Canis lupus familiaris: one gene and its partner. The protein of the gene in region 1 interacts with the protein of each later gene in a biochemical or structural test. Links are inferred from orthologs where the notes say so. Each region holds a gene or a part of one and is shown in the gene's direction. Other genes may lie near its edges. The genes, in order: REPS2 and EPN1.

Evidence for each region.
Region 2: the proteins of REPS2 (region 1) and EPN1 form a complex in vitro, tested with the Homo sapiens proteins (3 studies listed by BioGRID and IntAct, with this or other methods). The link is inferred for Canis lupus familiaris from reciprocal best matches to the Homo sapiens genes REPS2 and EPN1.

The regions. Positions count from the first base shown.
Region 1 is NC_049260.1:13,357,308-13,372,413, forward strand, and holds part of REPS2 (ralBP1-associated Eps domain-containing protein 2), read left to right. Parts: intron 1-7,154; coding exon 7,155-7,238; intron 7,239-8,337; coding exon 8,338-8,480; intron 8,481-15,106. UniProt on the Homo sapiens protein: Involved in ligand-dependent receptor mediated endocytosis of the EGF and insulin receptors as part of the Ral signaling pathway. By controlling growth factor receptors endocytosis may regulate cell survival.
Region 2 is NC_049222.1:102,832,527-102,848,279, reverse strand, and holds the start of EPN1 (epsin-1), read left to right. Parts: upstream 1-8,554; 5' UTR 8,555-8,756; intron 8,757-9,127; exon of another isoform or gene 9,128-9,258; intron 9,259-11,258; exon of another isoform or gene 11,259-11,274; 5' UTR 11,275-11,364; coding exon 11,365-11,592; intron 11,593-15,753. Other genes in the region: U2AF2 (splicing factor U2AF 65 kDa subunit), read left to right, coding at 2,924-3,003, 3,086-3,208, 3,474-3,572, 3,781-4,029, 7,321-7,455. UniProt on the Homo sapiens protein: Binds to membranes enriched in phosphatidylinositol 4,5-bisphosphate (PtdIns(4,5)P2). Modifies membrane curvature and facilitates the formation of clathrin-coated invaginations. Regulates receptor-mediated endocytosis.

The DNA.
Region 1 (15,106 bases):
CAGTCTTGGCATCTGCCTGAATTCTTGAGTAATAAATAAAACTGGAGTTCCTTTTTCTAATCTGTCAGCATGAGTATTACAGAGTTTATAAAATAAATTAATCAATTATCCATACCTTTAGCAATTAGTTCTGCAATTAGACTACTTACTTACTCTTTGGAAAAAAAAGGTTTATTTATTTATTTGAGAGGGAGAGGGAGTGTGCATGAGCGAGGAGAGGGGCAGAGGCAGAAAGAGAGGAAAAGGGGTAAGTTGGATGCTTAACCGACTGAGCCACCTAGGCACTCCTAAACTACTTAATTTTTAAAAAGATATTTGACCTTTTTCCCCAATTTTATTGAAAGGTAATATACATCTCTGTGTAAATTTCAGACGTACAGCACGATGGTTTGATTTATATATATTGTGAAAGATTACCACAATAGGTTCAGCTAACATCCATATTCTCATATAGATAAAATGAAAAGAAGGGGCCCCTGGGTGGCTCAGTCTATTGAGCATCTGACTCTTGATTTCAGCTCAGGTCATGATCTCAGGGTTGTGAGATCGAGCCCCACATCAAGCTCTGGGCTGGGCATGGAGACTGCTTGGGATTCTCTCTCTCCCTCTCCCCCTCACCAATAAAAAGAAAAGAAAAAGTGTCCTTCTTGTCATGAGAACTCTTGGGGTTTTACTCTCTTAATAACTTTCTTATATATTGTACAGCAGTGTTAGCTATGGTCACCATGCTGTGCATTACATTTCTACTACTTATTTATCTTATAACTGGAAGTTTGTACCTCTTGGTCACCTTTCTCTAATTTCCCCTCCCCTCTGCCTTTTTTTTGTTGCAAATTTGACACTTACTTCCTTGCTTTTAAGGTTTTATTTTTTAAGATTTTATTTTTTATTTTTTTATATATTTTTTAAAATTTTTATTTATTTATGATAGCCAGAGAGAGAGAGAGAGAGAGAGAGAGAGAGAGAGAGAGGCAGAGACACAGGCAGAGGGAGAAGCAGGCTCCATGTACCGGGAGCCCGACGTGGGATTCGATCCCGGGTCTCCAGGATCGCGCCCTGGGCCAAAGGCAGGCGCCAAACCGCTGCGCCACCCAGGGATCCCTATTTTTTTTAAAGTAACTCTACACCCAAGGTGGGGCTCAAACTTAAAACCCTGAGATCAAGAGTTGGATGTTCCACCGACTGAGCCAGCCAGGCACCCTGCAAATTTGACTTTTAAAAACAAAAGTCTTACTGCTGAAGATTTTGCCCAGCTTCAAATATTTATTTATTTTATGAAACCATATGGCAGACACCCCTATTCCTCCATGGTAAATGGACAAGAAAACAGTTAAGAAGCCTAGTTAGTTTTTCGTGCAGCACCTGTGGCCTTTTTCAGAGCAGGACCTTGGAGACTTGGTTTTTTCATCTCTTAAATGAGTTCAGGCCATCTATGGTCCACAGTTGGTCTGGACTGGCTACATAAAAATTACCCAGGGAGCTTGTTAAAATAGAAGTTTCTAGTGCTCCACCCCTAGGAGATTCTAATTAGGGAGGTCTGGGGTAGTATCTAAAAGTCTGTAATTTATAAAAATTCCCTGGATAATTCTCCTGTGCAGCTATATTTGGGAACCACTGGGCTTAGAAGGTCTAGAACAAACAGAATTGAGTTGGGAAGGAATTTCTGGTCTGTTTGAAGATTCAGGTAATACTTACGTGCCTGGAGCGGGATCCATATGGGGAAACTAATGCAGTTATGATGCAGAGGCAAATTGGAGCCAGATGATAGAAGATCTTTAACTGGCTGAGTGTCCCTAAGGCCTGTGGTGCTATGCCATAGGCCTTAGGGACCAATTGAAGGACTTTGAGGAAAGTGTTTTGATGAGAGAAGGTGCTTTTACAAAATTATTTCCTTAGTGTGTGCAGGGTGGATCAGACTGGGAAAATAACTGAAGGCTAGAAAAAGACCCACTGCAGTTTTTGCAGTGCCCCAGGTAGGAGGTTTAATAATGAGCACATGGACTGAGATGGGAGCTATGGGACCTTTGCAGAGCTAGCCTGCCTGGGTGGCACCGGAATCTGGGGCATGTTGTTTTAAGCTACTTTAAAAAAATCCATAATTTATCAGTATTGTGTTGTTCATCTACTTTAACTATTATAATGAATGAATTTATTGTGTTCATGTCCAGGAGATTTTAAAGGAAGCCCAGTAAATAAATTCATGTAGAGAAGTAGTTGGCAGCAGCGACAGCTGCTGTTGCAAGGAAGGAGGGAGGAAATGAGAAACAAAGGGAGGCCTTTCTTGCCAGGCGGCAACCCCATCCTTACCCTGCCTCCACATGCTTGGGGAAGGGGGTCTAGCAGAGGCTCCCCCGAGCTGGATCTGCCAAACAATCTGTAGAATGCTCCTCTCAAAGGATTAGGTGTGGAATGTGGCATTTGGCATTTGAGTCAAATGAAATATTTTTCCTTTGTTCCTCTAAACCCAGTCGGTAGGTCATTGTTTCCCAAAGTGTGTTCCACAGAACATAGTTCTGCTAGATATTAATAGGAGTTACATGAAAATAAGAAGTTGAAGCCAAATCATTTTGGGAACTGCTGGGTTAAGTGAAAGCAATGGCTTCCTTTACTTCACAGGATTTCAGAGTGTGTGTGATATGCTATGTGTTCTGTGAATTTCAAGAAGGGATATAGGCTATGCCATGTTCCCTAAGCTTATCTGTTTTCTCTAGGCCAGGCGTGACAAACTATGGCCCACAGGCCAAATCTGTCCCATCATCGTGTTTTTGTAGATAAAGTTTATTGGAACACAGTCACACCCATTATTGTGTTGTCTGTTTTTTTTTTTTTTTTTTTAAAGATTTTTATTTGAGAGAGAGCCAGACAATGAACAAGCAGGGGGAGCGGCAGGCAGAGGGAGAAGGAGAAGCAGGCTCCATATGGAGTAGGAAGCCCAATGCAGGGCTCCATCCCAGGACCCTGGGATCATGACCTGAGCCAAAGGCAGATGCTTAACCAACTGAGCCACCCCGATGTTCCATTGTGTTGTTGTCTTTGGCAGCTTTAGCACTCAGTAGCAGTGTAGCACGTTTGTATTGGAGACACACAGACCAAATGGCCTGTAAAACTGAAAATATTTATCTGGCTCTTTACAGAGCCTATCCTTGGCTAGGCAATTCATAGAACTGATATTCCCTGGAACTCATATTTGAGAGATACTGCTATAAGAAGATAGAGGTGGGTTGTTCTAGTCCTGCTTGTGATGAATCTGCTTAATTTTATTCAGCTTTTATGCTGCCATATTTCTTTTCCTCTTGCTTTAAACTCTTTCCTCTCAACCATTTATCCATTGTTGAAGATCAAAATCTGGCTTCCATGTGTCATTGTTCTTTCCTTTCACTTATCACATACCATCAATCACCAAGGATGTAGCTAGTGTCAAGTTTACATAGCTCTCAAATATGCCTATTCCCCACTTCCACCAGACTGATTTAAGTGACCATCATTTTTTGTCTTGTTTTCATTTTCAATGTTTTAAGTGGATTGCCTTTGCCCACTATGGGTTGCTTCTAATCCAGGCAAGGGCATATCATCCATCTTGATAGAGTTGTTTCGTATTTTAATATGTGGAGGAAAAAGGGAGCTGCTGAGGCCCCCCTGTTTCATGGGTTATCGTTCTCTCCAAGTTGTTAGTTACCTTAGAAAAGTCTGTAGAAATAGCAAAGAAATCTCCCAGGCTTTTTTGGCTTTCCAGCTGCTAAGCCTTACACTATTTTCCTGAGGTAAAGTGAAATAGTTTCTTGCAAAGAGGGGCTTTTGTACCTCTAAATCTCATCTTTAGTTTTTTGTTTAGTTTAGTTTTGTTTTTACCACAAAGCTCATTTTCTTTGCTCATCTCTTTTTCTGGGATAATGTCTGGCTCCAGTGAAGCTCTACCTTTCTAGGACCTTCGTGATTCCCATGCTTCAGGCCCCTCACAAGATTCCACTCCTCTGAATGTTCAATAGATGGAGTCATTTAGAATCAGTCATGGGGTGGGGAGGGGAGGTCTTGATGTTCCTCCCAAGGAGGTTGGTGGTTAGATTCCACCTGACATAGCACCGAGGAGCTGTTTGTTTTCGGTGGTGGAGCTAGAAAACCAAGGCCTTTGGATACAGTTTCAGGAAGGTAAACATATAAGTGGAAAAAAAATTGTCATACCCTTTTCACAACTTGCTTTTTCATCCTTATCAACTCCCACTCCAGTGTTGTTTGGATTTTTAGAGATGTTTAAGGGAAGAAAGCAGAGGCAACGATAATGATAGTCTACTACTTTTGCTGTGCTTAGAATCCTTATTTTTGTTGGAGAATCTGATTTATTATTTCCCCCGTATTTTCCACGAGAGGGAGACTGCTCATTTCCCCAGGAAAGGAAGCATTAGGGCAAATGCTTCTCTCTGCCTGATGATGGAGGAGAGAGCTGAGCAGGTGAAAGGCGGGGAGACTAATCAGTCACTCCTTTTCTCTGTGACTAGCTGGCAGGATATGTCAGTGCATACCTGTGGTCCTGCAGAGAGCTGCATGCATAGACTTGAGGCCAGAACATTTGTGTTCCAAGCAATAGATTTGGGGATGGAAGGTAAGAAGGGGCATCAAGTCCAAGTTGTGTTCTTCCACACAGGTCAGGGGAAATCCTGCATTCAGGAGTTTATTGGGCCCTCACTCAGCCATTAATAAAGCTGACATTGGACCTGTGGATCTTTTCTTTTCTTTTCTTTTCTTTTCCTTTTCTTTTCTTTCTTTTCTTTTCTTTTCTTCTTTTTTTCTTTCTTTTCTTTTCTTTTTTCTTTCTTTTCTTTTTTTCTCTTCTTTTCTTTTCTTTCTAGAAAGAGAGTGTGAAAGAGTGACTGAGTGTAAGAGCAGAGGGAGAGGGAGAGAATCCCAGGCAGACTCCACACCTAGTGAAGAGCCAGTTGTGGGGCTTGATCTTAGGACCCTGAGGTCATGAGCTGAGCTGAAATCAAGAGTGGGCACTTAACCTCCTGAGCCACCCAGGTGCCCCTGGGCCTGCAGATCTTAAAGTATGACATTATTTGTCAGAACCCTGAGGGAAGGTGGGTAAAGTCTTACTTACATTCCTCATACTCCTGATAAGGAATGGCTCCTGGATAGCTTTGCACAGGTGTTGCCTGAGTGTTTCAAACTCAGTGTGCCTGAAAGTGAGCTCCCCTTACATTTGCTTCTCTCATGGTTCCTGTCTTGGTGACAGATCTCTTACTGTCATGGTATCCTAAATTGGTGTTCTGGGTACTGGAGCTTCCTTCCTCACTATCCCTGTGCACTGGGCTGCACCCTACTTATCACTCAGGTCTTAGCTGTGATATCACCTTCATTCAAGTCTTTGCTCACCCACCCGGCCTGGGCCCTCATACTTCCTCACCAAAGTCTGAATTCCACTGAAGCATGCTTGTCCCATCATTTCTCTGCCTTTTCTGCTAGACTTCAAGCTTCTTATAAGAAAGGTCTAAGTATCATTTATCTTGAATAACAGATCTAGCACAGGGCCTGCCTGCAGTAGCTGGTCAATAAATATTTCTTGAATGAGTACCACTCGGTCCCAAGAGTACCTGAGGCTATATAGCATAGTGGTCACAAGCCCGACATTGGAACCTGAGGCCTGGGTTCAGACTCTGCTGTTTGTGTGATCTTGGGTAAGTTCTTCAACTTCTTGATCCTCAGTTTCTTCACCAATTAGATGAGGGTAATAATTCCTTCCTAGGGCTCTGATGATGAAATGCTTTCATCTATGCAGAACACCTGGAGAAATGTGTGACACCGTGTTTGGTGTTTCAGATAACTATCGACAACAGTAGCAATACAGTTATCCTTAATGGAAAGGAGAAGGCTATAAGCAAAACTTGGAATGAGAAATAAGGCATATGGAGTGCTTGCAAAATGGCTTTGGAAGAGGTGGACTGGTGATAGGGAATTGAGGTTTCTAGCTAGGGCAGTGCAAATGTAGGAGCAGACGGGCTTGCTGTGGAAAAGAATGAATGGTGATGGGAGGAATAGGGTGGGAGATCCAAAGACAGAATCTTGAGAAATCCTACATCTGAGGGATAAGAGGGGTCAAAACAGGAAAGAGAGATAATAATTACCAGTAGGAGATTGTGCTTCATCAGATGCCAGGGACAGGAGTTTTAAAAAGATAGTCAGGGGTGCTGTGCTGGGCAGAGGCCTGGGAAAAAACTAGAAGAGGCAGCAAGAATCCGATAAATAGGGGAACATTTAATGCCCCTGTCTGTTACAGAAGAGGTGGAAGAAGAAAGAAGCCAGGCTCTGGAAGGAGTTAGAAAAGGCCGGGTTAGGAACAGGATGGACATGTTAAGGATGATTGTTGTGCTGCAGTGTGTGTTTCTGAAATGCATATTAATCTGTGGGTAGAGGACTGATGTCACTATAATGAAGAAGTCACATTAGTTCATATGGAGCATTTTTTCTCAGCATGTTAACACTTTGCATTATTGGCTAATAGCAGCTGAGTGTAGCAAGCCTCTTGGAGACCGGGAACAGCACATGGCATCTAGTCTCCCTGTACTCTTCTGCTTGACTCTTTGGCACCTGCTCAGTCTCAAAGGGCTTTGGAGGCAGTCCTCACCATTCTTTGTGCATTTGTCCATCGATTCCATACTACTTGGTAGCCTCAACCCTTCTGTTTACTCCTTCCATTAGACTCCCCCACTCCTGTGTTTTTTAAGGTAAAGAGTCATGTCTCTTAGAGTGTTTTTCTTAGGAATTTAACATTTTTAAAAATTTCAATTTTTTTATTATTATGGTTACTATTTTTGTTAGTGCTTGGGTTAAAATTTTAACAAATTTCCCAGCCTTTTTTTTTTTCGATAAGCCTTATTTTTTTAGTTTGAGCTTGTAAAACATTAGTTTTTAGCAACACCTGTGTCTAGTTATGGACATTACTGCAACTCCTTTTCCTAATATTGAACAGTACTGGAAGGGGGCATGGGAGGGAATGGCAGGGTCTAGGGAAGATTTTCTCCGGGGTCCACAGACTTGACCACACTTGGCTGCATGTTGGTCTAAATCACTTACGCTTAGTGACATTTTCTAAGTGCTCTTCATTATATATTTAGGTGGTTATGTTTTTGCATTTTTATCTTCTGTATGATATTTTGCTACAGTCTGAACAAGTGTCTGAGGCTGAAATACACCCCCAGCTGAACAGAGCTCCCTCCCAGGTTGCTGAGAGTAGTCCAACGAAGAAGGTAAGGCCTGCGGGAAGGTGCCCCTGTGATGGCACTGTGAGCCCCTCCCCTGGGCTTCTTGTCTCTATTTGCAAATCTGTTTTGCTTTGGTGTCTGTGTCCTGACCTGAATGGTAATGATCCAGCTTTCCTATAATTTGGGCTCTTTGTGAAGATTAGGGTGCTGATGATTCTTGGGCCTGACCTTGATGTCACTGACCGTTTGTACTTCCCTCTTCAGCCTTTGAGCTAAATATGGTGGCTTTGCTTTTGGCAAGTTCAGGAGGTGTGGTGGGGAGGGCCTTTGGCAGAACCCTGCAGGTTGCTGAGTGTCTAGGAGCACCTCTGGTGGGGGCCGGGAAGTCTGCCTTCCTTTGTCTGTGTGCCATGGTCCCCTCTTGCATCCCGGCATCTTCACCTTAGCCCACTGGTGTCACTGAGTCCCAGATTACTTACTCAGAAGGCACCACTCACTTTTGCTCTCTGTTTACCTTCTTACCCTCTTCTGGCTGCACCCTGTTTTTCTAAGGCCCTCCTCTGATCAGAGCATGGGCCCTGGGCCTGGGAGCACAAGTGAGGAGGGGACTCCTAGGAAGCCAGCTGGCTGTCTCCTTCCAGAAGACATTGTGGCCCTTAAGCTTGACTTCATGTATGAATTGGGAGTGGAAGAATGAGGAGGTGACTGAGACTATCACAAACTTCAAAGCTTACAACATGTTCCCACAGGCCCCAAAGTGAGGCAAGAGTGAGCTTTGTCTTCAGTCAGAAAAAGCCTTGTGGTGTGAAATGCACATAGCATTTAAAAAAGGAAGGGAGTTCCCATTGGAATCTGATACCTGTGTCCTTTCAGGTGCAAAAAGCAATAATATGCTGCAAGCATGGAAAGAACAACAAAAAAAGAAAGGCTCCTGGAATCTGATGCCCGTGTGCCTCCTGTGTCATCCTCCCCTCCCCCCCTTGTGAAGTCATGAGTCAACCTTACATCCTCAGGTGTGGAGTTTGAACAGAGCACACACCTGACCTGAGGATGGGCATAGAAGGAACATGAGGACATTGGCAAGATGAAGGGAGCATTTCTGTTGTGAACTTCGGGGTTTTATTGTTTTGTATTTAATCTGCAGGACATACCACATTCTCAGCCTCCATCAAAGCCCATCCGAAGGAAGTTCCGACCTGAAAACTCAGCTACAGAAAGCCAAGAGCCTCCTAGCACTGTTGGGCCAGTGTCGGCAGCGAGCGGGAAGCCCCACGCAGCAGTCCAAAAGTATGTACGGCAGATCACGGGACTCAGACACCAGCTTTCCAGTTTTTGTATGTGTGTACCTGGAAATCTGTTTGCATTTATACTCATGGCCATAGAACGGTGTGATTTTATGGTTGTAGTTTTGCCTTCTTGTCTCTGTGGTGGTACTCTTCCCGGGCACCCAGGAAGAGACCTATGCTCTAGAACCTAACCTGAGCCAAGGGCCAAGCAAGTACAAAGATGTGCTGTTGCAGTTTGCTTTGATTTCCCTCTCTTCCTTTCTCCTCCTCCTCTCCTTCCTGCCCTGCTTCCTTGTGCTGGTGCGCGTTTTCCTAGGAAGAAGACAGTGATACAAATGGCCCTTTTTCCTCTTTGCCTTCTGGTGCTCCCCCAGGGCAAATGGCTAGCTTTGTGACCCTCAGACCCAATTTTAAGTACATGTGGCTTGTGATTTCTTTTTATTCCCCACGAAAAAAAATTTTTTTTCCCCACGAAAATTTTTATTGTCGATCATCTCAGCACAGATGGTCACATGTGGAGCCTCCAAAATAGCTATGTGACTGGCTGTAACAGTTATGTGAGGGGGGCACCCATGGACAAGGCTAGGAACTGAGAGAACAATGTTCCTGACAAACCAGTTTTCTACAGAGGGTTTTGTTTTAAGAAAACCTATCCCTTGCCTCAGTTTTTCTGTAGTGGAATTAAGCAGTGTTGAGAGCAGAAACCTGCTGCTGTGCATAACTTCATAAATGAACTTGCCTGGTCACTAACATAAATGCTCAACATACGCCCTGACACTGCTCTAGTGGCCTTGTAGATCCCAGGGGCTGCTGTGGTTTTCTCCTGCTTATACTGTTGTAGAGAAAGAAGCAACAGATTCTGTGGGCGCGACTTGCCTCTGAAGCCAAAACCCCATGATGAATCCATACAACACTCTTCAGATAATGTTTTTTGTGTCAGTTCTTCCAAATAGACAGTTCCCTAGCAGTATCAATGCATAAAGGAAATATATTTTGTCCTTAATGGCCACTGAGAGCTTTGACTGTCTTTCAGTCACTGTCAAGCCTAGGGGATGAATCCATGTCAGGGACAAGGATGGCTAAACTTGCTTCTATGTGCCATCTTGGCTTTCCACGGTGGTCTCTGCTTCACATCACTGTTAGTCAGGGATGGCTACAGCACCCTCTGTGCTGGATGGAGGGCAGCTGGCAGAGCTCATGCAGAGGTCTTTTTCTGTTCCTTTCCTTTATCTGTGTGTTTGTTTTTAAAATAGCTTTCATTTTTTGTAGATTTTATTTATTTTTTCATGAGCGACATAGAGAGAGGCAGAGACATAGGCAGAGGGGAGAGGCAATACAAGATTGGGGAGCCCAGTACAAGATTTGATCCCAGAACCCCGGGATCATGACCTGTGCTGAAGGTAGATGCTCAACCACTGAGCCACCCAGGTGCCCTTTAAACAGCTTTCTTCAGATGTAATTCACATAGCAATATAATTCACCTTTTACATGTGCAATTCAGTGGTTTTTAGTATTTCCACAAAGTTGTGCAACTGTTGTCACAAACTAATTTTAGAACATTTTCATTGCCCCCAAACGAAATTCTGTGGGTTAGCAATCACTTTCCATTCCTGTCCCATGTCCCAGGCAGCTAGTCATCTACTCTGTGTCTCTCTAGGTTCGCCTGTTGTGGCCATTTCATGTGAATGTAATCCTACAGCACACGGTCTTCTGTGGCTGGCTTTTTTTTTTTTTTAGTTAGCATAATGTGTTCAAGGTTTATCCATGCTGTAGCCTGAGTCAGTACTTGATTCTTTTTTATTGCTAAATAATGTCCCATTGTATGGATATACCACATTTATTCATTCATTACTTGATGGACATTTTGGTTGTTTTCACTTTATTTTTTTTTTTTTAATTTTTTTTTAATTTTTATTTATTTATGATAGTTACAGAGAGAGAGAGAGGCAGAGACACAGGCAGAGGGAGAAGCAGGCTCCATGCACCGGGAGCCCGATGTGGGACTCGATCCTGGGTCTCCAGGATCGCGCCCCAGGCCAAAGGCAGGCGCCAAACCGCTGCGCCACCCAGGGATCCCGGTTGTTTTCACTTTAAAGCTGTAAAGAATAATGCTGGCATACTATGTGTGTACACGTTTTAGTGTGGGCTTACATTTTCATTTGTCTTGAGTATGTACCTAGCAGTGGAATTGCTAGGTCATATGGTCACTCTATATTTAATATTTTGAGGACTTGCCAAACTGTTTTCCATGGTAGGTGCAGCATTTTACAGTCCTACCAGGAACATATGAGAGTTCTGGTTCCTCCTGGTATTTTTGGTCAACACTTGCTGCTATTTATTTATTTTTTAAAATTATTACAGCCATCCTAGTGGGTATGAAGGAGTATCTCATTATCTTTTTGATTTACATTTCCCTAATGGCTAATGATGTTGAGCATCTTTTCATGTGCTTATTGGCCATTTGTTTATCTTTGGAGAAATGTTTACTTGATCCTTTGCCCTTTTCTGCTTGGATTATTTATCTTTTTATGTTGAGTTAGGAATTCTTGACCTGTTCTGATTACACATCCCTTGCCAGATAAATGATTTACAAGTGTTTTCTCCCATTCTGTAGATGGTCATTTCACTTTCTTGATGGTGTCATTTGCAGCTCTAAAGTTTTAATATTGATGAAGTCCAGTTTATTTTGTTTTCTTTTGTTACTTGTGTCTTTAGTGTCATGGCTTGGAAACCACTGCCTAACTCAAGTTCATGAAGATTTTTTCCTGTGTTTGCATCTATAGGTTTTATAGTTTTAGCTCTTACATCGAAACATGTGGTTAATTTTGAGTTCATGTTTGTGTATAGGGTAAGGAAAGGACCCAACTTCATTCTTTTGCATATAGATATCCAGTTGTCCCCACATCGTTTATTGATGGAGATATTTTCTTTTATTTGCCAGTTTAGTGACTGTCCCTCATTGTGATACTCTCTCACTAGTTAGGTGACCACATGGTGTCAGACTGAGAGACGCTAGTGATCACCAGGAACACAAGTAGTGCTGTAAATGGCAGGGATGTAAGCTTTGGGTTAGAGAATTTCATACAGCTTGTTATCATTCCCAGACTAGTTTATTTTGGAGTGATAAGGAGCAACTTAGAATTTATCATTTTCTTAAGCCCTGGAGAGAGAGACAGCCAGACACATGATGGTTAGTCTGTATAGTTCTTTCTCAACCAGGGTTCTGGGAAAGAATGAAACTCTGATGCCCTTAGACATCCATTGTCTGTAGGAACTTAACCTCTCTCCTATGCATCTAGAGTGGTATTTACTGTGTATTGTTTTGGGGGAAATTGACAAAAGAGTGACAAGTAATTTTCTTAACTGTCTAACAGAACACTGGTTAAGAAAGGCTAAAAAAAATAAACTAGGGATCCCTGGGTGGCGCAGCGGTTTAGCGCCTGCCTTTGGCCCAGGGCGCGATCCTGGAGACCCGGGATCGAATCCCACGTCAGGCTCCCGGTGCATGGAGCCTGCTTCTCCCTCTGCCTGTGTCTCTGCCTCTCTCTCTCTCTCTCTCTCTCTCATGAATAAATAAATTAAAAATCTTTAAAAAAAAAAAAAATAAACTAGTTGGAAAATGGTCATCAGGTCTTCGGGAAATGAACATCAGAACTGACCTATTGTAAGAAACAAATTCTTCTTCATATATCATCATTGTCTATTCCATTTAGGGCAAAGGAAAAATAAAATAATCTTTTCTAAGTGAGCTGCTGAGTCCAGATTATAACTAATAAACAACTCTTGGATTGTGTCATAATTACTGAGCTGCTTGTGAGGACAAAAGTGGTTTTTTAAAAAAGATTTTATTTATTTATTCATGAGAGATCCAGAGAGAGAGGCAGAGACATAAGCAGAGGGAGAAACAGGCTCCCTGGGAGGAGGCTGATGTGGGACTCGATTCTGGATCCTGGGATCACACCCTGAGCCAAAAGCAGACACTCAACCACTGAGCCGCCTAGGTGTCCCAAAAATGGTTTTTTTAAAAGAAATAATGTGACTTACTTGTTTTTTTCCCTCATGTCTTGTACATCTTGTATAGATGGACCTTGGGAAAATAGAATGGTTTGAACAGTTTGGAGAGAGAGGGTGTTGTATAACAGTACTATGACTGAAGCTGTTCCAGCTTCCATGGTTTTTGCTCTTTTCTGTAAACTCTGGAAGTGTCCTGGACCACCCCAGAGCATGCCCAGCAGCCAGTGTGACAGTGTCTGCTTGCCTGCATGATGTTCTTAGTGTGCTTGGATTCTGTTTTCCTTCCTGCTGCATGCTTAATGGTACCAGATTGTCTGTAGGGTCAATGAGTGGCATTCCTAATAAAAACCTGCTATTTCCAAGTAGAGAAAAGGTAATACAAGTTCACTTCTTAGACGCTGTACTCATAATTCCGTGGGAGAAATTGCGGCTCAGGTTGAAGGCTAAGAAGATTTTTCTTATCTAGAGACCCCAGTTTACATTCTTTCAAATATTGGTTCAGCTGCTTGAATGAAACCCAATTAACAGGCACTCAGATAAAAATAGAAATTGACTTCTTTCTTGTGTAGAAGTCTAAGTTGGTGAGTGGTCCCAAAGTGTAGATTAGCTCTGTGCATGAACCCGGGTACTTTCCTGTATTCTTATTCTGGATCCCTGTGGGGGTTGCCTTTATCTTTATGGTTGAAGATGGCTCACTAACATGTTCACATTCTAGACCCCGGAGTGGGGATGGAACAAATGGAGAGAAAACAGGCTATTTTTAAGGGGATGCCTCAGAAGTGGCATCTCTGATTGCTTTGGCCCAAACTTAAGTCATATGGCCTTACCTACCTGCAAGAAAGACAGGGAAATGGAATTTCTAGTTAGAGGGCCATGTACCTCACTCAAACTGAGAATGCTAGGCTACTGCAAACAAGAAGGCACAAGAATAGGTTTTGGAGGACAGTCTGCCACTGTCCTTGAGTGGACAGTGCCTCATGGTGCTGCTGTTCTAAATTGATAGATAGCATGACACACAACAGAGCCAGACAAAACAAATGTCTACGTAAGTGTTACTCCTTCAGTTTCCTCCCTGGAAGCCAGGCTGGTTAGAGTACAGCCTGAAACAGTACAAATATTAGGAGAACCTGAAGAGACAGACTCCAGAAGCAACTCTTAAGAGGGTGAGGCAGGTTAAATGCTTTGGTGACCCCTTCAGAGGTATTCTGGGCTTGATCCTATCTTTGTGTTATTTAGGACTCCTTTGGTAGCAAATGATAAAAGGCAACTTGAGGTAGCAAAACCATACTCTTTATTATTTTTTAAAGATTGTATGTATTTATTTGACAGAGAGCAGGAGAATACAACAGGGGGAGGGGTAGAGGGAAAGGGAGAAGCAAGCAGACTTCCCACTGAGCAGAGAGCCAGGACTCTGGGATCATGACCTGGGCTGAAGGCAGAGCCACCCAGGTGCCCCAAAACTATACTCTGTATTATAAGGATATAGAGGTGACCCGGGGAAATCAGGGGCAGGAGTGGATTGGAAGAAAGGATTGCAAACCTTCTGGGGCTCATTCTGATGCCTCTCAGTTTTCTTAGGATGTTTTTGACATTTTTGTCTATGAAGACTTCTCAAGCACCTTCAACTGTAGAGATTACTGTGCTGGGCCCAGGCTGAACTGAATTATTAGCCATAACTCAAATCATTCGGAGGGAGAATCTGGTCAGCTCAGCAGGGGCCAGCATCCATTTCAGTGTCAAAAGAGAGGTGAACATGATGATGCCTGGGTGGCTCAGTGGTTGAGCATCTGCCTTCGGCTCAGAGCGTGATCCTGGAGTCCTGGGATCGAGTCCTGCATCGGGCTCCCTGCATGGAGCCTGTTTCTCCCTTTGCCTGTGTCTCTGCCTCTCTCTCTGTGTCTCTCATGAATAAATAAATAAAATCTTTATAAAAAACAAAATTATTTTAGACATTCTAATTCTTCTTTCCACATAAATTTTGGAATAATTTTGTCTTGATCTACAAAAAAAATCTTACTGAGATTTCGATACAAATTTTGTTAAACCTTTGGGGTACCTGGGTGGCTCAGTTGGTTAAACGTCTACTTCCCCCTCACCCCTGACCCTGCTCATGCTTTCTTTCTCAAATCAATCAATCAATCAATCAATCTTTAAAAAATTAGAAAAAAAGGAATTGTGTTATCTGAGGAGAATGGACTTTTTTTTTTATTATGTTGAGTCATCCAATCCATGAACATGATGAATATTTCTCTATTTATTTTGATCCTATTTTTTCATTAGTGTTGTATAGTTTTCAGCATGTAAGTCTTGTAGTTGTTTTGATATATCTAAGAATTTTGGTTTGAAGCTTTGTAAATATTGTATTTTAATTTTTCTGTAAGTATTCAATGTTAGTATATCAAAATTTTATTGATTTAAAAAATTATCTATTGTTTTTTTGAGAATTGGGGGAGAGAGAGAGAGAGAGAGAGAGAGAAAGAGAAGAGCAGAGGGAGAGGGACAATCAGACTCTACGCTGAGTGCAGAGCCCAACGTGGGGCTCAGTGCCACAACTCGGAGATCATGACCTGAGCCGAAATCAAGAGTCAGACATTTAACTGATTGAGCCATTCA
Region 2 (15,753 bases), on another chromosome or scaffold:
GATCCTGTTTCAGACCGGAGGAGAGCAAGGCAAGGCATGATAATGGTCTCTAGAGTTGGTGCTGTGCGGTCTTCCATAGCACCTTCTGACACAGGCCCTTTACCGTGTGGGAACAGAGACCTCGCGGGTCAGGGATAGCTTGTATTGGATCGTCTTCCCAGATTCATGGGCCCCTTTCTAGACGTAACTATTGGCGTGACTAAGCAGCTGAAGCGTGGGTCATCATCCATCTCTGTTCTTTGGGATTTGCTCACCCAGAGGGACCTGAGGGTCTGCAGTACTAGTGCCTGGGCAGGTGGCAGGAAGTGTGATTGTGCTTGTAGATTGAGCATCTTCTAGTTACCTTTTCATAGCGAAGTTCATATTTCAGTCTTCATTTTTTGGTTTAAAAAAAAAAACAATTTTATTATACAAGGAGGCTAAAGAGGAAAGCATGTGTGATAAAATTTAGCAGATGTTCTTGGCTGGAAGAGAAACAGTTCAGGAACCTGGAAGGCAACTTTCTGACCTTGATGGAAATGTGTTGATTAAACATGCATCACTTGGGGTTGTGAAATCTTGAGTTCATCTGCCCCTGAAGTCAGGCCTTGCTGTTGAGTGCTGGTGACAGGATCCTGGTGGTTCTTTGAAGACAAGAGGGAGACTGAGGTGGGGGGTGGGCCAGAGCTGTCTTTGGAAGCAGGGGAGCCCAGTAGTTATTCAGTGTGAGTTCAGCTCAGCTGTGAGCACCCGCCCACTGCCATGCCAGGCTCCCTTCCCCGTGCAGGGCCGAGTCCTAATCCCCCCCCCCCCCCCGCCCCCTCATCAGGCTCCTGCCACTGGGGCCTCACCCCCATGTACCCACTCCCTTATACCCACTCCCTTGGCAGAGTCCTATTCTGCCTGGTCTGGTGGTGAGTGCATGGTAGGAGAAAGTGGTATTCTAGGCACAGGGAAAGATTGCTCAGCCTTTGGGGGTCTAGTGTGGCCTTCAGAGAGGAGGTGTGTGCCAGGTGGACCCTCTGAAGGAGTGGATGTGTGGTCAGGGAGGAGGAGCCTGTCCATCCTTTTTTTTTTTTTCTTAAGATTTTATTTATTTATTCATGAGACATAGATAGAGGCAGACACACAGGCAGAGGAAGCAGGCTCCATGCAGGGAGCCCAATGTGGGACCCGATCCCAGTTCTCCAGGATCAGGCCCCGGGTTGAAGGTGGCACGAAACCACTGAGCCACCCGGGCTGCCCTGCCCATCCTATTGGGAGCGGATGTTGCCAGGGGCTTGATTTTGGGCACTGGGATTGATTGGTATCCCCATTTTCTGGCTGTGTGACTCTGTACGATAATAGTCCCCTGCTTCAGAACCGTCGTTCACTCAGGGTCTGCAGTCATTTATAGCTCTGGTCTCAGGCCCTATTTCAGGTGTACGCCCCATGTGGGTCATCCTCATCCTCCTGTGTCATAGATGCGAACACATAGAGCCTCACTTGGTGCTGTACCCCAGATTTGAACCCAGGGAGTCTGACCCTGGTGCCCTAAGCTCTGCATGCTTCCCTGGAGTGGATGGCACAGCAGATAGCAGCCAAGGCCAGCTGGCTGAGGGTCATCTGGCTCTGCCACTACTCCCTACTGGGGTGATGGAATCTCTGCTTTGCCTAGTCAGCCATCGTTCAGAGCTTTGGTACCTGTGTAAAGTCCCTAGCTTGCCGAGAGCTGCCTGTGGGAGGCACAGGTGTTATGGGCTTGGGGACCCCTCTTTCTGTGTGTGTGACTCCAAGATAGAACCAACTTTCTCTGCCTCAGTTTATCCTGTCTGGATAGGGCTTTGGAGAGCACGGATAGTAGACTTCATGAATTTACCTGTGGTGTCTGGCCTGTGGCCTCTGCGTAGCCTACCTTGGACACGCTGGATCTTCATGGTCTGCCCACCCCCCCACAGGCCCCACTCTGATGGTGCTTAGCTCTGGTTGAAGTGGCTGGGGTGGTGTCAGGAGAAAATGCACTCTTTTTTGTGTCCAGTCACTCAGTGTCTGATGCTTTCTGCCATCTTTCATTTCACCTGTCCGACCCTAGCTAGGTCAGGAAGAAGTGTGGAGGGGCTGCTTGGTGTGGACTGCTGAGGTGGGCCGGGCCATGCTGCTTTTGGTAGTGGGCTCTGGCCTTTGGAAAGTCAGGAACTGGTCGGGCCTGACCAGTGGTGTTTCTCTTCCAATGAGCCCTGATAGTGATCTGGGGCTCTGGGTAGCTCACACCTCACAGGAGGCCCCTGGGAATTAAACGACATGCTTTTGAAGCCAGTGGACAACAGGCTGAGCCACCTGGCAGGCACTTGTGTCTGAATCCAAAATTGAGTGGATATGGCAAGATTGGGGTGGATGCAGAGTAGTCATTAAACCATTCAGCCGACAAACATGAGCCCACTGTGATGTCCCTGAGGTCAGCAAGCTGAGTCGACTGGGCATGTCCCTGCCTTCGCAGACCCAGAGCAGCAGGCCAAAGAGGGAGTTGCTGGGTTTTTGTGGTTGCAAAAAGCTCGGGACCACAGAGAGAAGGACCAAGGGTCTCAACGGGAGACCTGATGTAAACGTCTGGGTGGTAGGAATGGCATTGGGGTTGTGATCTGAAAGACGGAGGGGGTGTAGGTGTGTCATCCTGATGTCTTACCAGTAAGGGCGAGTGCTGCCAGGACTTGTGGTTGGCAGGTTTGAGGTGTGGCCCCTTAGTGGGGACCCTCGCTGTGGTGCCACCCTGGTGTCGTGGCACATCCGAAGAAGAGCTGCTAGTGTGAGTCTTAGGGTCTGGATAGGTTTGGGAGACCGTGGTTTTGTCAGCGTTGCTGGGCCACCTTGGCTGATATAATGGGCCAGGCCCTGTGCACACACCCCGGGGTCTTGGTTAAAGACCCTGTGCTGGAAACCAAAGCCTATGTACTCCCCTTCCCCCCAGGAGTTGTGTCCACCGTGGTCCCGGACTCTGCCCACAAGCTGTTCATCGGGGGCTTACCCAATTACCTGAACGACGACCAGGTAGATCCCTCGCCTCCTTCTGGCTTCTCCCCTCCCACTCTTTACCTCAACCAGCCCTGACGGAGTTGCGGCCCTGCCGCAGGTCAAAGAGCTGCTGACGTCGTTTGGGCCTCTCAAGGCCTTCAACCTGGTCAAGGACAGCGCCACAGGGCTCTCCAAGGGCTACGCCTTCTGTGAGTACGTGGACATCAACGTTACGGATCAGGTGAGCCCGGGCCCCTGCCCTGCTGTGTCCACTCCCAAGTCGCCCTCCTGGGGATGGGTGGGAGGAGGCCAGCTTAGGTAGGGTCCTGTGTGGGGGACTGGGCCCCTTCCCCTTGGTTCCGGCTCCTGCCAGGTGCTCACTCTTTGGCCTTTCCTCTCACCACCAGTGCCCAGCTCTGGGGTATTGGGGCTTGGTGGGAGGCGTCAAGTCCTGCACCTGACCCGCACCTTTCTGCTGCACCCCCCCCCTTGTCCTCCGCACACAGGCTATTGCGGGGCTGAATGGGATGCAGCTGGGAGATAAGAAATTGCTCGTGCAGAGGGCAAGTGTGGGAGCCAAGAATGCCACGCTGGTGAGCCCCCCGGCACGTCATCTTCCATTGGCTAGAGGGATACTGGGGAGGGGCGGGGCGGGGTGGCCTGGGGGATGCTGGGAGCAGATCCTCAGAAGCTTCGGCTCCAGCCCTGGCTTTCCTGGGCCTTCAGGGGCGGACGTGATTCTCTGGGTAGGCCTCTGGGGGTTCGGTGTGGCCCTGGCCGTGACAGCCCTGCCCTCCCCCCTTCTCCCCACAGAGCACCATCAACCAGACCCCCGTGACCCTGCAAGTGCCGGGCCTCATGAGCTCCCAGGTACAGATGGGCGGCCACCCAACGGAGGTCCTGTGCCTCATGAACATGGTGCTGCCCGAGGAGCTGCTAGACGATGAGGAGTATGAGGAGATTGTGGAGGATGTGCGAGATGAGTGCAGCAAGTATGGGCTTGTCAAGTCCATTGAGATCCCCCGGCCTGTGGATGGCGTCGAGGTGCCCGGCTGTGGAAAGGTGTGCATGTGTGCATGGGTACACACCAGTGCTATGACTCACATGGGTATAGGGTCCCCCAGGAGTGTGGTCTTGCAGCTGTGCTTCACAGCTTGGCTTTGTCATGTGATCTTACATATGTGGTTCGGTCTTGTCTGTAAGTGGGGAGAAAAGTGCTAAAAACAGAACAGCAGCAAACCCACTCGAGTCTTCTGGGTGCCAGGTACTCCCTGAGCTTAACCTTTGCAACATGAACTCTCATGGCAGCTCTCTTAGCCCTTGCTCAGAGGATGCAGGCCACATGGTCTGATTCCACAGCCCACTGGGTCCTGTCACTTCTGGCACTGTGCTAGGTGTCAGCACCTTGAACCCTTCTTGAGAGGCAGGGAAGAGTGGGTGACTTAGCTTTCCCTAGCCGCTCACCTAGTGATTCAGGCCTTCAAGCAGAACAAGTCCTGGGGCCAGCCTTGTCAAAGACAACATGTGTGATAGTAGCTGGAAAGGGAGTAGAATTGCTCTGCTCTGGATGCTGTTCTTAGACAGGAATAGACACCTCTTAGTCAAGGTTAAGAGTTGATATTAACCAGGCCCAAGTGATAATAGGTTATCCCAGGTAGTAGGGTCCTGAGCAGGGAACCCAATGAACATAGATCTCCTGGGTTATGAGCCTGGTGTGTTTGGGGATGGTGACAAGGCTGGCATAGTCTAAGCAGAGAGCAGTGGGAGATGAGTTCTGAGGTTGGGAGCTGGGGCCTAGTGTGGCAGATCTTGTAGGCCTGTGTGGGTCCTGGAAGAATGTTGGGTGTTCTTGAAGTGAGAAGGAAGCCTTTGAAAGTTCAGGAATGTGGTCTGTTGCCTTGCACATAGAGTTCCTCATAATCAAGTAGGCGTGGACAGGAATTACAGGGAGGTCCAGGTCTTACTCCAGTCCTGCAGAGCTGGGTTCTGCAGGCAGGGAATTCAGAGGGGGGTAGAGGTGGTGGTGGTATGACCTGGAACTTTGGGAACTAACAGCTTATGGTCACTTGGTCGGAAGATGGTGACTTGATGGAAAGTAGCAGCAGAGGATGGAGAGAAGTCAGTCCATGGATTTGAAAGACACGTTACCTGTAAACACCCAGATCCTGGTGGTTGATTTGGGAGGGGGAAGAGGAGTCAAGATGCTCAGATTCCTGGGCTTTGGCAGCTAGGTGGAGATGGCAGGTGAGAAGCAAGGGAGATGAGCAGGTTTGGGGGTGGGGGGTGGGGGTCAGTGTTGGGGAAGAGTGGGCTGTCAGTCTGAGGTCCTGAGACACCTCATTAGAGATGTGTGAAGCAGTGAGGACGGAGCTGCATTCCAGGCATGAGGGAAACATTTCTGATAGAAACAGATGTCATCAACACACTGATCCTCATTTTGGTGTCAGCTGGATAGGATTGCCCAGGGAGCAGTGGAAAGAGAGCCAGGTACCAAGGGACAGGGTTGGGGGGGGGGTGATGAAGGGATGAGCAGCATTTCCTCTCTCTCCTCCCGTGCTCTGCTTCCCAGTCCTCACTGGTGTGGTGTATGTGGTGTGATGGAAGCACCCGCTCCCCTCATGCCTCATGGGCGCTGGGATGGATCCTGGCTCCTGAGGGGCTGAGTCAGTATTTGTGGGAAGGATGAATGGGAAGACCGGCCTGGTGTCGGAGATCCTCCTGTTTTGTTTGTAAACTTTGTCTTTCTTTTCAAACATACATAAAAGTAGAAGTACCACACTGACCTACTATGGTAGGTCACTTTAGTTCCATTGTGGCACATAGAGTAGTATCGTCGTGTCCCATCATCCAGCTTCACTTGTCATTCTTAATTTCCCAACTTCATTTTTCCTGAAATAATTCAACGCATATCTCCTATATTTTATCTCCAATAATCAAGTGTATTGCTTTAGTATCTGAGCTACTAGGATTTGGGGCCTGGTAAGTCTTGCTCTTTGAATTCCGTGCTGTGCACTGTTCGATGTGTGGCCCCATTGCCAGTCTCCACCCTGTAGATGGGGGCTCCTACATGGTAGCACTACACTCCTCCTTTGTGACAGCCTAAAACCTCTCCAGATATTGCAAAATGTTGCTTGGGGACACATTTGTGCTGGTTGAGAACTGCTCTAAACTTTTAACAGAAAACTTTATTTTATTATTTATTTATGATAAGCACACAGTGAGAGAGAGAGAGAGGCAGAGACATAGGTAGAGGGAGAAGCAGGCTCCATGCACTGGGAGCCTGATGTGGGATTCGATCCCGGGTCTCCAGGATCGCGCCCTGGGCCAAAGGCAGGCGCCAAACCGCTGCGCCACCCAGGGATCCCTTTTAACAGAAAACTTCTAAATAATTATAATGAAAGTACAATATCATTGTTACAATAAGAAAATTATTCTTAGGATTTACTTAAATTTGTATTATAATTTCCTTGAGCGTCTCAAATGTCTTTTTATACTTGATCCATTTAAATATCCAAACAAGGATTCATGCAATCTTATTTAGAACTTTCTTAAAACTTAGCAGTTCTATGTAATGCCCCCCCCCCCTTTTTTTTTTTGGTGAGTCATTTTGTTGAAGCAACAGGGCATTTGTCTTACAGAATTGTCATGTTGTGAATTAGGTTGGTATCTTCCCCCTCACCCACTCCCTGTAAACCGGTTTTTTTTTTTTTTTTTTTTTTTTTTAACTGGTGTTTTTTTGTGTTTTTGGTTTTAAGATTTTATTTATTCATTCATGAGAGACAGGCAGAGACATAGGCAGAGGGAGAAGTAGGCTCCATGCAGGAAGTCCGATGTGGGACTTGGTCCCTGGACTCCAGGATCACACCCTGAGCCAAAGACAGACGCTCAACCACTGGGCCACCCAGGCATCCCCTAAACTGGTGGTGTAAACAAGATGAGATACTTGACCGGATCAGTGTTTTTATTTTTTTTGTTGTTGTTGTTGTTTCTTGCTTTGAGTCAACTTGGGTTTGAATCCTAATTTCTGAGCTTTCTTTGTCTGTCTCTGGGGAGAACCTGGCCCTTGGGGAAGCTTTGGGGAGGGAGGAGCACCGGCAGGGCGGGTGGAGCTCGTTGCCGTGGGTGTGGCTCTGGGCTCCAGTCACGCTCTGATGCCTCCCCTGAGCTCTGCTCTGTGCGCTCTGTTCTTTGATCCTGGGATTCGAGAGTACATTTGGGTAAATGCTCGCAGATCTGCAGGAAGGCCCGCTGCCTCCCTCTGTCTGTCTTGCAGAGTTGTGGGTTCTGTGCAGGCTAGCTGGTTGCTGGGGCTGAGGCCACCTTGCTTTTACCACTTGCCTCTTACTCCCGCAGATCTTCGTGGAGTTCACCTCTGTGTTTGACTGCCAGAAAGCCATGCAGGGCCTGACCGGTCGCAAGTTCGCCAACAGAGTGGTTGTCACAAAATACTGTGACCCCGACTCTTACCACCGCCGGGACTTCTGGTAGAGGTGGAGGGGGAGGGTGGGGGAAGGGCTGGCTGGGGGTGTCTCCCCCTCCACCCCCCCTTTTCCCCCTCTGAAGAAGATGGGCAGAGGAGTGACAGCCGAACGACAGCCGACAGCCGGCAGCAACTGGAATGGCAGCGATCGGGGCGGGGAGGGCAATGGGGAAGTGTGCGCACAGGCCCACACACATGCACCCACAGACACAGAGGGAAGGGGGGCGGGGAGGGGGTGCACAGCAGGGCGGGTAGGACCCCCATGGCCCCTCCCCAGAACAGCCTCTCCTCCCTCTCCTACCCGCCCCCGTCCCCACTGTAGAAACATAAGTGTGTTTATATTTTATGGCCAAACTATTTTGAATTCTGTTGTCCACACTCCCCCGTGCCCTGCCTTATCCCTCCAGGACCACAGCTCCCGTCCTCCTGGCCTCCGGTCCTACCCCCGTGCGCCCCCCCCCCCTCCTGTGCCCTCCCTGGTTTCTTACGTAGTTGACTCTCCTCTCTAGTCTCCCTGACCTGCGGCCCCCGTTTCCTCTCTGTGGCAGTTTCATATTTGCTAAGACGAATTTGCTCATTAAACATTTTGTTGTATTTTACTTTATGGGCCTGCTCGGTGTCCAGTGTGTATGAGTCCCCCAGTCTCTGACCTCTCCCCTCGCGCCCTTGGCGCGCCCTCGGGGCACACCCTGCCAGCGTGGCCGCTTGCTCAGGCCGAAGGGGGGGGGCGTGGCGGCAGGCTAGTTCGCGCGGTGGAGAGGCGGTGTTGGCGACGCCAGTTCCCCAAAGCGCCGCAAGGTGCAGAGGGCGGCGTGGCCGCGTGAGCTGGCGACTACACAGTCCCTTCCCCGCCTCCTTCGGCCGCGCTGGCCGGCCCTCATCCTTCTAATAAGGCCTGCTCTCCGAGGTTGACCCCTGGGTTTTGCTGGGGCGCCTGCGCGCCGGAAGTGACGCTGAGCGGGGGGGTAGGGCCGCGGAAGTGGCGGCTGCGTAGGCTCCTTGCGGGCTAGTACGCCGGGTGCTGCGCAGAGGGAGGAGCGCGTCGCCACTTCCGCTTCCGGTCCGTCGCCTCCGGTTGCTTCCCGTCCGCTCAGCGGCTCCCCTCCCCCGCCCGGCTCTCTGCGCCCCTCCCGGGCGCCGGGGCGGCGGGGCCGTCGGCGTGCGGCCCACTCCGTGCTTCCGTCCGTGCACCTGAGTGCGCCTGTGCGTCCGCCGCTCGCGGCCAGGCGCGCGCCCCGCGACACCGAGGCCGAGCGGGGGCAGGGGGTTGCCCGCCATGACCCCCCGGAGCCCGGCGTGAGGGGCCGAGGTGAGCGCGGTCCAGGGGCGCAGCGGGCTGAGGGCGCTCGGGCGTCCGTCGCGTGTGGCCCATTGGCTCAGCCCCGCGGCCTTTGTGTGTGTGCGGCCAGCCGGCCTCGGGTGTCCGCCGGCCTGCGCCCTGGCCTCGGTTGCTGCGGGCGTCGCTGTCCGCTGGGATCCGCGCGCGGCGCTAGGGGTGACGGCCGGGCTTCGTGTCTGCAGTTCCCGGGTCTCGGGGCTTACCTGTCGCCTGTTTCCCATTCATTGCCGTCCTCGCGCTCCTCCTTGCAGCCCCGGGCCCCCCTGTGCCCTCCCGCGGGTTCTCGGGAGCCGAGCTCCGCGAGCAGGCCCCATCCGTGCTCGCCGGCCTGTGGTATATCTGGGGTGACACCCAGGCCCCCTCGCCCGCCAGGTCGGGGCTGTGGGTGTGCACGGACGTGGCCCTGCGGTCCGCCGCCTGGAGCTCTGGATTCCATGATTGCTCACAGATCCCGACCCGCGCTCTGTGTTCTGTGAGTCCTTTGAACGCCCCTCGCAGGATTTGCCCTCGCATTTGTCCTCCGTCTGATCTGATAACCTTTCTTTGAATCCGTTTATTTTGGAAAACTTGGTCCCATCCTAAGCAGTACCTGAAATCTTAGCTGTGTGATGCCCTGACGTTTTTTCTAACGCACTTTCCTACAATTGCACTTAGAATGGAGCATCTTCCATTACCACACTTTTGGAAATGCTCTTTGCTTTTGGTAGTGACTGGCAGGCAGCGTTATTGAGGTCCCACTATGTGTGGGACAGGGAGCTAAGCACTGTATGTACCCATCGTATGTAATCACCAGGCCTGCCAGGTAGGAATTCTTTGCTGTGTGTCAGAGTCGTGCAGACTGGCTCCTGTTGGTAGCTCACAGCCAGAGTTTGGGTCCAAGCTTTGTGTGTTCTGTACCATGTTTTTCTCCTGTAAATTTGCAGTGCCAGGTTGCTATCCTTTCGTTCTGGGTCTCTGTGTTTGCTCTGTGTCGTCTGCCACGTGTCTGTCTCCTTTGGCTTCAGCTTGCTGTGTCTCCTCCGTCCAGGTTTCTTGACGCCTCTTTCTCCACTTGTTTGTCTTGTTCCTGTTCCTCTGCATCCTCTGTGTTGGTCCCCTCAGCTCTTCACCTCAGTGTTTCCGGCTGGCCTGCTCGGCCCCCTGACTGTGTGTGTCTTTGTGTGTGTCTCAATGCCTGAGTTCAGAGCTGGGGCTGGCTGCCTGTCCCAGGATGTAGGCGGGTTGTGGGAGGCTCGTCGGCATAGATGTGGACTGTGGTTGTCAGAGTCCACTCTGGAGCCAGGGAAAGGCGGCTCTTGCTGTGCCTCAGTTCCCTACCCTGTGAGATGCTGTGAATCATGGAGTTGGGAGGATTAGTTGAGTCACTGTGCATAAAGCACGGGGCAGAATGCCTGGCCCAGAGTAGGGTCATGTCACTGCTTGCTGTCACGGTCACTGTCTGCCTGCTTCCCAGCCTTCTCTTTCTTCCGTTGCCTTCGTTCCAGCACCAGTTAGTTTAAAAGTGTAAGTTTTGGTGTCCAAGCAGCCAGAGGTTGAGTCTGCTGCTGTGCTGGGTGTGACCTTGGCTGAGTTGTTAAGCCTCCATGAACCCTTGTCTTCTCGTCAGTTAGAATGAGGCTGGTGGCATTGGATGAGATAATGGTCATCTTTTGGTCCAGGAGTGCCTGGCATGCTGCAGGGACCTAGGCAGCAGCCATGCTCATCCTTATCTCTCCTCCCTGAACCTCCAGCTTTCCCACCCTTGGGACGCCTCGTACCCCTGGCATTCCCCGCCTCTCGCCTCTTTGTTCCTTTCTGGTCTCCTCTCCATGTGTCCTTGTGTCTGCCTCAGGGTCTGTCCTGTCCACTCCTGCTCTGGAGGTTTTCCCTGCCCTCCCTCCTTCCAGCTCTTCTGAGTCAGCTGCTCTGTTTGGAAAAGTCACATCCATGTAGACGTGGTGTCTGTCCCCCTGGAGTTCAAGGGTCGACTGTAGCTACAGAGTTGGACTAGTATAAAGTCACGAGGGTGGCACAGTCTGCCTCTGGAGCCCCTGGGCAACAATGACCATGGTGTTTGGGTGTGAAATTTGGGAATCTTACGCGGAGCTCTTGGGAGTGACCTGGGCAGTGAGGGAGAGGAAGAGCAGGGTGTTCATCTCGTGTTCACAGCATACTTCCTATCCACTGGGTTACGGGATAAAACCCCACTTGTTAGAGCGGAAAATGGAAATGCCAGAGTTCCTGGCCCACCCAAGGCAGGTGGCCGGGATGTGCCTAGCTGAGGTGTCCCAACCTGTGATCCTCTGTGGTACATTCTGCCTCGCTGAGCAGCACCCCCAAGCAGGAAGGAGCTGGGCATGTTTGAGGAACTGAAAGGTAGACTGCCTAAGTCAGGGGTTAACAGAAGCCAGAAGCTTCTAGGCCCCAGGGGCAGCGGGGAGCCCCAGGAGGGTGTGCACCAGCCAGCCCCAGGTCCCACTTGTGTTTCCAAAGGGTCTTTCCTCCTCAGATGCGGTGACCCAGCAGCCCCTGCCGCTGTCTGCTTCTTCGAGCTTCCTCCTCTCACTACACCCCAAGGGGCTCGCCACCACCTGCCACCATGTCGACCTCGTCCCTGCGGCGCCAGATGAAAAACATAGTCCACAACTACTCGGAGGCCGAGATCAAGGTCCGAGAAGCCACAAGCAACGACCCCTGGGGCCCATCCAGCTCCCTAATGTCTGAGATCGCGGACCTCACTTACAACGTCGTTGCTTTCTCTGAGATCATGAGCATGATCTGGAAGCGGCTCAATGACCATGGCAAGAACTGGCGGCACGTCTACAAGGTCAGTGCCCGGGCTGCAGCGGGCTTCACGTGCACACGTCTTCATGGGCAGGTGCGGGGCTCTGCTGGGAGTGCCATCAGGTCCAGCCTTCCCAGTTTGCAGGAGAAGCTGGAGTACTAGGTCTTCACGTGAAATCTCTCTCCTTTTGTTCCTCTTCTCATTTAACAAGGGCAACAAACACAAGGGTTTAAGATTTTGAGGCCTGTGACTTAAATTCACTTTGAAAACAGCGCATTCACAAGATTCATCCACATAGAGGGTCGAAGCAGGTGCATGGTGTTCGTCCTTCTGTGCACACACAGCCCTGGTCCCTCTTGGGGCAGCTGGTGTCCTCAGCTTGTGTGTGGTCTTCCAGGATGACCCGTGTGTGCGCGTCCCCAGGCACCAGGGAATTTGGGGGCCGTGGTACCATCCTGTATCAGAACACAGAAGTGCACATGAAAACCGGTGGATTTGATCACATCTAAGCTGTACCCCAGTTCTAAAAAAAAAAAAAAAAAGATGAGTTTAAATATTACAGATGGTTTCACATCAGAATATAGCAGATTTGTTACCTTTTTTCCTTTCTCTCTCCTGTCACCTGCTAGTTACCCAATGATGAATTTTTAAGTGGTCTGTGATGTATTGCTTCTATGAACAGGACTGCCATGGATATCCTTGTATGTTTGTCATTCTCTAGAAGTGGAAGTTCTGGGTCGAGGGGCGCATGCCTGTGTCATTTTGGTAAATGTAGGTAGAGTGCCCCTCAGAGAGTCTGTTGACTGGTCCCCAGTGACACGTGCATGTGTCCTCTTTCAGTGAACAGACAAGACCATGGGTGGTGGTCAAAGGGAACATGTCTTTGGGCAATGCTCAGTGAGATGGTTTCCTGTCTTCTATCCTGGGGCCTGGTGTCCTCCCCTTGGGTTGGGAATTGGCATTGGGCATGGGCTGGGGCAGGTGCCCAGGTCCCACTCCTGGCTGTGTGGCTCAGAGCGGCCTGTGGACCTCCTTCCATGTGAGGGTCTGGCTGCTGGGGGTGGAGCTGGTGTGAGGTGCAGCAGTGTCAGGGAGTCCTCTTGCTGCCGACGCCTTTGAATGTTGGTTGAGGGCCTACTCTTTATGGCCACGGACCAGGCAGATGAAGCCCCAGACCCATGGACTCCAGCAGGGGCCTGTGTTGTCCACGCTCTGTCCTGTTCCTGAGACCTGAAAATGCTCTGGCTCATTTGTATGCCCATCTCAACAAACCTGGGGTGGGTCCTCATTTCCACAGAGTCTGTGCTGCCTCAATTATTTGGCTCTTTGTTGTGAAGGACTGGGTGGTGTTTGTGTAGCTGAGAATCAGGGAAAAGGTGGGGAGTCTGGATGAGCCTTCGTGTGGAGGTAAAGGGAGGGGACAGGACTGGGAGGGCCTCTTGAAACCTTGAGAGCAGCTTGGTGGGGCTCATGGACCGTGTGGTAGGGAGATGAGCCCTATGGGGCTCTGCTCTGCTGGAGACATGCTGCTGTGGGCACAGAACCCCCGTGAAGTACATTTTTTGGTCCCTCTTAGGAGGGGACACTGAGGCACAAGGAGGGCAGGGGGTGGGAGAGGAGCCCCATTCTCCTAGCTCAGTTGTGTCACCTCCTGCTTCAAGGACTTAGCGGTCTCAAGTTTTTTTTTGTTTTTTTGTTTTTAAGATTTTATTTACTTATGAGAGAGAGAGAGAGAGAGGCAGAGACACAGGCAGAGGGAGAAGCAGGCTCCATGCAGGGACCCTGATGCGGGACTCAATCCCGGGTCTCCAGGATCACGCCCTGGGCCAAAGGTGGTGCTGAACCGCTGAGCCATCGGGGATGCCCCAAGTTTTGTTTCTTAAACCGAGGTCAACACGCTATGGCCTGTGGGCCAAAGCTGGCCTACCACCTGTGTTCGTAGGTAAAGTTCTGTCGGTGCGGACAGGCCTGTGCGTCTGCGGCTGTGTCCTCTGTCACATGGAGCTGAGGGGTCAGCACAGGGGCCGTGTGGCCTGAAAAGCTGGGCTATTGATCACCTGGGCCTTTTAGAAGAAGGTTGCGGTCCCTGTTTTAGACTGACTCCCATATGCCAATGTTGTTCCACCTCTGAGCAAGTGGTTTTGAAAATTAACAGAGGCTGTTGGGTTGTCCCGCTGCTTGCTTTTGAGAAAATGTTCACTTTTGCTGTTGCGGCACCCATCTTGAGCATACAGCCTGATCTGCTCTCTTGCGTGCACACACCTGTGTAGCCAGCACCCAGATGGAGACAGAGGGTGTCCCTGGCTCCCCCAGGCTTGCTCAGCACACCCCTCCCCCAGAAGCATCCTACCCTGCCTTCTGTCTGCCAAGCTCGTTCTAGAACTTTCCATGGGCTCATGCACATGGTTCTTTGTGTCTGCTTAGGTTGGTCCCTGCCACATCTGGGAGGTTTCTTTACATTATCTTGCTGCGTGTGCTGCTCGCATCACATGAGCACACTGCCTCATACATGTGCATTTGACTCTTGGTGGGTGTTTGGGTTATTTCCGGGTTCACTGTCTATTTAACTGTACTTCGAAAGTTTCCAGAGCCCTGGAAACGAGTTCTTATAATTTTTTGGGTGGGAGTCCCATCCTGGACTGAGGCAAGGTTTATCTGGGATCTGTTGGTCTCACATAGTTTAACTGTTGGTCTGACCTGCTGGGAGACTGGTGTGTGATGTGTGCTATGTGCTGCCCTTCTAGTCCGAGCACAGCTGGCCCAGGACTGGTGGAGCCTGCCTGCCTTCTAGCCCAGGTGTGACTGGCAGCATGATTGCTTCTTTCCTTTCCACTGTAATGCATAAACACCCCAAGGGCTGGTTAAAGACTAATCTGTGATTACAGGCACACACCTTCAGGAAGCCTGCCAGATCCAGGCCTGGCTCCCGTGGGTGGCAGGGAGTTAGTGCTGACCCACAGCAGGGCTCCCTGGCAGGTCCTGCAACTGCTGAGCCAGCTCAGCTGAATCAGCCAGGTCCTCCCTTTGTGTCACCTTGTTCTGGGGCGCACACTGAGGTGCACCCTTGTCTGCGGCCTTGTGGATTTTTTTCTCACGTGTGTCTCTGTGCGTGTGTTTAAGATTTTATTTATTCATGTGAGAAAGAAAAAGAAAGAGTGCGGGTATGCGTGCGCACAAGCTTGAGAGACAGAGGCAGAGGGAGAATCAGGCTCTCCACTGAGCAGGGAGCCCGATCCTGGACTCAATCCTTGGACTCTAGGATTTGACCTGAGCTGAAGGGAAATGCTTAACTGACTGAGCCATTCAGACACCCTCTCATTTGATTTCAACTTGTTGAAAAGAGACTTTGTTCTCCTGTCCTAAAACACAAAAGCTATCACAAGGTGCTCCTGCGTCCCTGTCCTCTTGTTCCTCCTGTTCCCAGGACACACATGTCCCCTACAGAGAGCCAGGATCTCAACCACCCCTGCAGGCTCGGCACCTCCCTCCAGACTCCCAATTCGGGTAAGGGAGTTGCCTCCCTGTCATCCTCAGAGTGGGAAAGTCTTAAATTGGAGGTGGTGACACTTCCCAGGTGTACAGGACGGTAGGGGAAGCAGCTCCATTCCTGTGTCTTGGGTGCCTTGAGTGTTGTTTAACAGGCATGTCTCTTTGGCTGTCTTACTTTGGGTTTTCCTTTTAGAGAAATAGAGCGGGGTCTGCACCCCTCAGGGAAGCCCAGGTGGGGCTGCAGTGACCACACCTGTTATTTCCCTACTTATGTCTTTTTATCGAGACACATGTAGATGCCATGCCGTATGAGTCACCCTCATAAAGCGCGCAGTGCCGTGGCATCGAGCACGTTCCCAGGGTGGGCAGCTGTCCCCGCCGCCCTGGTTTAGTGTATTTCTGTCATCCTGAACACAAACCCCTTCCCATTAAGAGTCACCCAGCCCCTGGCAGCCATGAACCTCCTTCCTTCGTGGATGTGCCTGAGGATGTCTCACGTGAGCACAATCGTGGGCCGTGTGTGCTCTGGCATCTGGTTACTTACACTCAGCATGTCTTCAGGGTCTGCAGGTGGCAGCACACAGCTGTGCTTCGTCCTTTCTTATGCCCAGGTAGTGCCTGCTGTGCTGATGGGCCACGTCTGTTTCTCCACCTGCTGATATTATGTGGGTTGGTTATGTGGGACTGGGATCCTGGCTGCCTCGTGAGTGACTG